Linked DNA regions of Oryzias latipes. The protein of the gene in region 1 purifies or fractionates together with the protein of each later gene. This does not show direct contact. Links are inferred from orthologs where the notes say so. Each region holds a gene or a part of one and is shown on either strand. Other genes may lie near its edges.

Region 1 (3,814 bases):
AACCAGGACAAGACAACATCAGGTTCAAAGACAGCAGCACACAAAGGCTGAAAGAAGCTTTTCCTATGAGACGAATGAAGCAGCGCTGGTTCGATCCCGGCAGGTTAGATGGAGGAACGCAGCTTTGGCCCTCTGGGTTATTTACCTGGTTCCTCAGGTAACGGACCGTCCCTATCCTTGTATCTTCAGACAGCAGGTCGGTGAAAATCCATCCCACCTAATTCAGGAAAGAGGGAATCCATGTGTCATTTGGGTGAGAACAAGGACTGTTTCTGCTGGCAAAGCTATAAAAACCAGCAAGACAACCGTTTATACTCAGAAACATTTTTACTACATATTTTGAAAAAGGGAAATCAAGTGTGATTTAATGACCCGATTCAGAAACTAGGGTTAAAGGTCAAAGCCTTGAACTGTTGAGCAGACAGGAGAATCTGAGGATCACAGAAGGAAACAGCTCCACCTTGCAGAGACCCAGTTTGGCTGCGATTTCATCCACAGCTGCAGCTTTCGGGTCCTCCAACAGCTCCAGGCTGTTCTGGTTGGCAGTCTGTAACCCATACAAAGGTTTGGTTACACAAAGAAAGAGTTTCCCTTCATCCTGGAGGGGAGGGGGACGTGTCGGCTGGGACTCCCACCTGTGGGGGCTCGTAGATGGCAGCCACCTCGGCTCTGATACCCAGAGGGATGTCTTTGTGCTCCGTGTACCTGCCGTACAGGTATCCCACCCTCTGGCTGCCCGTTTTCCTCCAAAAGTCCAGAAAGCGATCTGCGATGGTGTGGTTTTCAAACATGATGTTGTCCACATGTCTGTATTTCTAAAGCAAGACGGACACAAACTTATCAAAGTGGTTGTTTTGTGCGAGCCACAGAAGCCCAGTGCTGGTTTTTCCAAAAGAGCAGAAAGCCTCACGGAGCTGTGCTCTGACAACACACCTGTCTGTTGAGAGTTATGGCACTGGGCTGGCACTTGGTGCAGATCCCGTCTGGCCAGGGCGGGTGACCCTCGCAGCCCGACTTGATCTTACAGCTGATGTTCTCCAGAGCGGCGAACTTCCCTCTGCGGGGAGGGGAGTCCGGTCAGCGGTGAGTTTGACAGGAAAACCAGAGGACCGGAGCCGACCGTGACGAGCGGCTCCTCACTTACTTATCTGCTCCACCAGTCAGCTTCCGGAGGTTGGCGTGGAACGACATGTGCTTCACCGGCGGGTCCAGGTGGTTCAGGTAGTCTTCATCAAAAGGCTGCATCCAGATGCAGAACAGATGTTTAGGGGAGGAAAGCAGTTTGGTTTTTAGAGAGAAAGGAGGGATTTACCTCTAATGGAACACAGTGTACACATTTCCCAAGGGCGCCATGGCGACACCTGGAAGAAAACAGAACGGTGAAGCTTCCAGCGTCGGATTCCGTAACACAGCAGCATCTGGACTCTTACAGCTGTGGATCTCTGTTCCGGTAGATCTTGCCATCCTGCTTAGCCAGATACTGATCGATCTCGTCCTCCTGGACCTGGGGGGCCGAGGAGGACCGAGGGATCAAGGAGGATGACGAAGAGGAGGAGGAGAGAGACGGTAGTGATGAAGACGAGTGCGGGATGGCTGTATCCATTTTTTCCCCGGAGGAAGAAGATGTAGACGGGAACAGAAACAACATGTCCCCATGCCTACAGTAAAAAGATCAAAAAATGATGACAACCCGACTAAAGTACAGGTACAACCCAAAACTTAGATTATTAAAACAAGATGTACTAGCTGTACCAGTCAGTTTAATGAATGCAGCTTGCATTGTGTGAAGATTAAAATACTTTGAGCTTCACTTTATCTTCATTTTAATAAAGGAAGTGTAGCTTCTCAGAAATAAAATCCGGCTGATCAAAGGAAGGATGTTCTCCACACAGATGTTCTGTTCTGTCAGCCGCTCATTCCTATGATGGGAATTCTCGGTTGGACCTGGTGTTGCACGGATGACAGCGTCACGTTCTGCCCTGGTTCTGCTGACAGCTGCCTTCAGGTTCGCCGGTTCTGGCATCTCATCTTCCTCTAAACAACGGTCCATAAATCTAAATATTCAACAAACTCGAGGTTCCTGTGTCGGTGTGAGCAGGTAGCAAGTCAGGGAGAGCAGCAGGAAGAGCGGTACACCGTCCCGCCAAATGCAAACCTGACTTTGGACCATTGAGCAACAGCTCCTCTCTATACCTCTGAACCATTCAACAGAGAGTGTCAGAACATGTGTAGGGTCAAAGGAGATGAGATGTAAATGTATCAACAGTTTCCACTTTGATTCTCGTGACCAGGAGCGGCCTGAGAAAAGACCCGATGATGCTCAGACGAAGCTCAAAGTCTGAACTAAACAGCTGGAGAACCAACAGAAGTATGAAATCTGACAGTCATCAGGCACATCCGCGTCTTCTAGCACTGGAAGATGCAGCTTGAATGTTTCCGACGATAAGTGTGCAGAGGGTTTTACGCTGTCATTCTCAACACAACGGCTGTAATGTTGATTCAGGAAGAGTTTTCTTGTACTTACTTAATCTTGAGTAAGCTGAGGGTTTTGTTCTGAGACAGGATCTCTCCGGTCTTGTTGCGGTTCAGATAAACTGAGAATCCATTGGAATTAAAGCCAAATTCTTTGGCCACCTGCAGCAGAGATGAAGTTTGTAGAAGACACACAAGATTTCTTAATATTGTCAAACGGAAAACAAAGTACAAGCTCCAGTGTTTTCCCCAAAGACAACTTTGTAAATACTGAATTCTTGCTGCAGTACAACAAAAACAGCAGAGCCTCCTGTAGAGCAGCTTGTCGTAACCCAATTTTCAGCTGCTGGGACGGGAAGGCCGTCCACCACAGTGCCTGACAGAAAACCAGCCCCACATCTCACTGCGTTGAAGGAACTCCCTGCTATCATTCATATGTCGCTTGTTCTGACAGGAATTAAATGACCACAAAGAGTTGGTTTCAAGTCAGAGAGCAAATGTCGTCATCCATCCTCACTATTATCCAAAAACAGTCGCTGTTCTCAGGTGAACACAGACGCTGTGTCCCAATTCCCACCGTAAGCCCTACATACTGCCCTCTATAGTGCCCACGCGATATTTAGAACTGTCTGAATCTACAATTCCAAAATCCAGTGCCCTAGAAATTTCCCAGAAGTCTCTGCGAAAAACCAGTGTGTATCGATGCTCACTAGATCAACAAATATAGACCACAATGCATTGCAGCGGAAGAATTTTTGCCAATTTTTTTTTGTTTTTTTTAAATAAACCATCAACATTTTTATCTTCAGAAGACAGTGGAGTCATACTGTAAATAATCGTTGCAAAACGCTCATAATAATTAGATTTTAACTTCATGAAATCCATGACATCATATCCACCATTAAAAATAAAAAAAGTGGTGAGCGTGGTGTCTGAACACTAGATAGTTTTTTAGCAGTGACGTGCAGTCAGGAGAGGCAGGTGAGGCTGTGCCTCACCTGTCATTATGGGAAGAAAAGAGAAAAAATAAATTCAATTATTATATTTAATCAGTAATTTGTGCTTTGCAGTCTTTTTCCATTTAAATTTACCATTTCTGGGTGTTTTTTTCTTTTCAAAATCGCTGAATTTCCGCATTTGCCGTTCAGATACTAAGAAGTGATGTGTGATGAGGCACCAGCCCGCTGAGCCTCACCTTGGATTGCGCAATACCTATGCAGTCAGACGGTGCTGCTGTCTCTCTGTATGTCGGTTCAATCACTTGTACTATATGAGCTGAGTTTACATAATTTAGCAGATATATTTGATGCACAGTGCTTGTTTTTATAAATAACTGTATGTG
Region 2 (3,814 bases), on another chromosome or scaffold:
CAAAGTTTATGCTTGAACAAAGTTCATTCACGTATGTGAGGGGTTTTCCTCCAGGTTGTCGGAGGGCTGCATCTAATTCCTGGTACGACAGAACTCAAACCTGTCTCCAGAGGCCTGAAGAGGCCCTGTAGGACATGTCTGTCTGGAAACTGGACCCTCAGGACCACCTGGAGAAGCGGAAGCAGAGGTTTTAAAAGAGGGTTGAGGCTTTAGATGGCAGGATGTGGCAGAACTTTGCTCACTTTGGGATATCGTTCCATCTTTTCCTTCATCTGTGCTTCTCTCAGAGATTTAGTCATGAGTGGAGCTTCTTCCATCAGTTTCCTGCAGGAGTGAGATGCATACAAACAAAAGTTGTTACAAACCCATCCAACATTAACGCACTTCATCCAGTGAGTGCCCCAACGCCCCTGTGGCAAAGAGGCGGGGCTAAGTGAACACTGATGCAGACTGAGGGGTGTGTGGTGGTCTTCACTCTTGCTCTCTTGTGCTGATGGAAGACGACGACCAAGCAGTGACCCTGTTAGGCTGTGGTTTGTGCCGTTTGACAACCAGCAGACCTGCAGTCACAGAAGACGCAGCTGGTCCAAAGCAGAGCTCCAGAAAACCTGATGGAGCGCATGGCTGAGCAGCTCCTCTGGCTCCAGCAGAACCTCCACCCTTTCATTTGACCCCACCCACCCAACACACCCACCTCTCACTTTTCAGCTGGGCGAAGCGTTTCCGCACGTCGTCCACCGTCACCTCGAAGAACTCATCAGGCAGATCTCCCAGGTCCTGAGCCTGATGGGGTCTGGAGTCCAGGTGGTAGATGAGAGGCTCCCTATCCACCGGCTGCAGACGAGAAGAAGAGAAACCTGAAGAATGCTTGTTTCTATCAGCTGAGGAACCTCACACCGCACTGGGGACAAACGAGCAGATCTGCAAATGAATGAGTCCAAACCTGAGGATGAGTGAAAAGCTGGCACTGACCTCCAAAAACTCCGGATTCTCCTCCTGGTCCTTAAGGTGAGCAGCGCGTTTACCCTGCCAGAGAAGATTCATGTTTGAGCTTTTAAGATTCAAATGAGGGACGAGAAAAGTTATATAATCCCAGCAAAGAACTACAGATGAAGAAGAGTGAGCTTCATCAGCTGCAGGGAAACTAAAATGAGGATCTATGCTCTTCTGCAAAGCTCATCTTCTCCATCAGTCTGAGATCTTCACTGATCTTGATGAAGAGGACAGAGCTACTCTTCATCAGAAGATCAAAGCCAACCATTCCACTATCTTTCAAACTCCCCGTGACTCTGCAATTATCTTCTGAGATGACTGTTATCAGTAGGATCTGCAGATGTGATGTTCTGCTGCATGTTCACCTACACATGATCTCCTAAACCCATCGGGTTCTAAAGAACACACGAAAGTTTAACAAGTCAGGCTACCAAGGAGTCGCAGCTTCTGCCAGCAGAACCCTGAAGCATCTGAGTGCAGAGATCTTTAAACTTTGGAAAACTCAGAATTAATTAACTTCATGAACTTTGTTCGGAGCATAAGGCTAGAACGGGTTTTTAGCGGGATGGCAGCTTAACATCAGAACTTCTATGAGAGCAGATAGTTTGGTTCCGTTAATAAGCATCTTCCTCTGAAGCAGGCCGTGCAAAAGGAGGGTGGGCGGGGCTTGACAGTCATCATTTGGCGCTGCGTGCGCAGCGCCAAATGATGACTGTCAAGCCCCGCCCACCCTCCTTTTTGTTCTGGTCAAACCTTCACACACACTATAAAAACTCAAAATCCCATCCAGAACGATCTAGAACCTTTGTCATCTGTCCACAAACTCAACGAGACTTCCTTTAGAAAACACATCTTTCAAATGGAAAAACACTTTTTCCTTAAACAAGTAAAGGGTTCACATGTTTACAAAGCTCTTGCTAAAAATGAGTCACTAACTATTTGTTTTCATTCCATGGTAAAACTTTATTTTCGCACCTTAAGAACTGGATTTAATTTCCGACCCAACAGAACCAGTGTCCCGGTTCCTGCTGCCCCCCCTTTTTCCCAGACCCCCCCCCACCCCCTGGTTCAGGATGCCTCTCACAGTTCGGCTCACCTTGGTGCTTGGACCGTCGCTGCCTTTTGCCTTCTTGGCTTTGGGGGATTCCACCACAGCAGGGAAACCTGTCCCCCCACCTGGACCCCCAAGGCGCTGACCCCCCCCAGAAAAAGGAACAAAGGGAGCCACGGGAGCTACAGAAGAGGAGGGCTGAGAGCTCGCCTGCGATGGTCCTGCTTGCTCCTCCTCCTCCTGAGCAGGTGGGGGAGTTTCTGTGGGGGGGGGTTCGGGCTGAGCGTCCCTGTGCTGAACAGAAGTGCTGCTCATCAGCGTGGCAGGAGGTTCTGATGGGTCAACGGGGATGGAGCTTTCAGGCGGGGCAGATGTGGAACCTTCCGCGGATGACGGAGTGGGATCAGACAGAGAAGGTTGGCTCTGCCTGGTTACCATGGCAACAGGTGTGACTGGCACAGCAGCATCTTCATCTTTATCCTTCCTTAGCAAAAACCTGGAAGAGGCCTCACATCTCATGATCTGCAGGTTTTTACACTCAGCAAAGCATACAGACAATTTATATGAAATGAATGAAAGGTTTTAAATGAAAACAAAAAAATGAACAGAATGCATAAACGCCTTCAACTGATAATGAAGTGAATAAAAAAACCACCACAAGATCCACAAACCAACTCTGAAGAAGTTCAAACTGTTTTTTAAAAACATTGTCTTCAGTCAGAGCAGCCTTCCTCTTTCAGCAGGTGGGAACGCTCACCTGAGCTCCGCTCCTCTTCCCACACCTAATGTGACCCCCCCAACCAAGCGTCCAGAAATGAACTGGCCCGTTGTTTGTTTGGGGCCTACCTGATGATGGCACTTCCTCCGGTCAGACCCAGAGATTTCAGGCTGGTCTTCTTCAGCGCCTCCTCGCCGCTCACCTGCCACACAAACAGCTGCGCTGTAATCCCAACGGCTCTGGGGGTGAGTCTGGGCTGAAGGAGAGCCTCGTACCTCGTCCCGCATGTAAACACAAACTGGGGTGGATCCTGATCCGGACAGGTCGGCCTCCCTGAACACATCCAGGGACAAAACAGGATAAAATGATGAAGACTCGAGGCCGGACCCCTCCCAGCATTCTGAGGTTTTGTTCTGACCCCATAAGACCGTATATGTGGGCATTTTGGTGGGAGATGAAGTGCAGAAATGATTTTAAAGATTTCTATGAAATGTTTTGTTAAAGCTAAAATTTGTGCATTTTGGGGGGGGGGGGGGGGGGGGGGGGGGGGGTTAATGGGAGGTAGGCGGGGCCAACAGGGCTTTGAAGTTTACTTTTTGCCACCTACTTTGTGAAGGGAAGCAGAGAAAACCTCAAAATTGTGCCTGTCCTACCATCCTCATGAGAGATTCTGATCATTAAACTGTCAGATAACAGTGAGCAGAGTTGGAATTATGAATTGCAAATGTCAAAATTCACTTTATAAGAAGTTCACCAACTTACTTGACTCCACATTTGGTTGATGAGCAGAAGACACAAAACATGACTAAGCTAGAGGATTTCAATTTTCTGTCCTGTGTAAACCTGCTGGTCTGCAGCAACACTGGAACCATGAAACCAACACCGCCTGTGAAAGTCTGGACTCTGACAAACATCTAAATCTTTCCAGAAAAACAGGATAAGCTTACATTTCCACGGATGCTTCTGAGACACATCCATACCATGTCACTGATAACACAATTGGATTCAGTAAAACCCTTTCACACACCTGATGGGGGAGAAGTGGGTGATGA

What was found.
Region 2: the proteins of nploc4 (region 1) and aspscr1 purify together in Homo sapiens (affinity purification with mass spectrometry; 3 studies listed by BioGRID and IntAct, with this or other methods). This does not show direct contact. The link is inferred for Oryzias latipes from reciprocal best matches to the Homo sapiens genes NPLOC4 and ASPSCR1.

The regions. Positions count from the first base shown.
Region 1 is NC_019877.2:22,101,871-22,105,684, forward strand, and holds part of nploc4 (nuclear protein localization protein 4 homolog), read right to left. Parts: intron 2,635-3,814; coding exon 2,525-2,634; intron 1,659-2,524; coding exon 1,431-1,658; intron 1,362-1,430; coding exon 1,313-1,361; intron 1,240-1,312; coding exon 1,145-1,239; intron 1,058-1,144; coding exon 934-1,057; intron 816-933; coding exon 636-815; intron 548-635; coding exon 461-547; intron 218-460; coding exon 146-217; intron 1-145. UniProt on the Homo sapiens protein: The ternary complex containing UFD1, VCP and NPLOC4 binds ubiquitinated proteins and is necessary for the export of misfolded proteins from the ER to the cytoplasm, where they are degraded by the proteasome.
Region 2 is NC_019859.2:28,956,087-28,959,900, forward strand, and holds part of aspscr1 (tether containing UBX domain for GLUT4), read right to left. Parts: coding exon 3,790-3,814; intron 3,096-3,789; coding exon 3,038-3,095; intron 2,965-3,037; coding exon 2,891-2,964; intron 2,541-2,890; coding exon 2,090-2,540; intron 1,027-2,089; coding exon 973-1,026; intron 835-972; coding exon 695-834; intron 325-694; coding exon 243-324; intron 168-242; coding exon 101-167; intron 1-100. UniProt on the Homo sapiens protein: Tethering protein that sequesters GLUT4-containing vesicles in the cytoplasm in the absence of insulin. Modulates the amount of GLUT4 that is available at the cell surface. Enhances VCP methylation catalyzed by VCPKMT.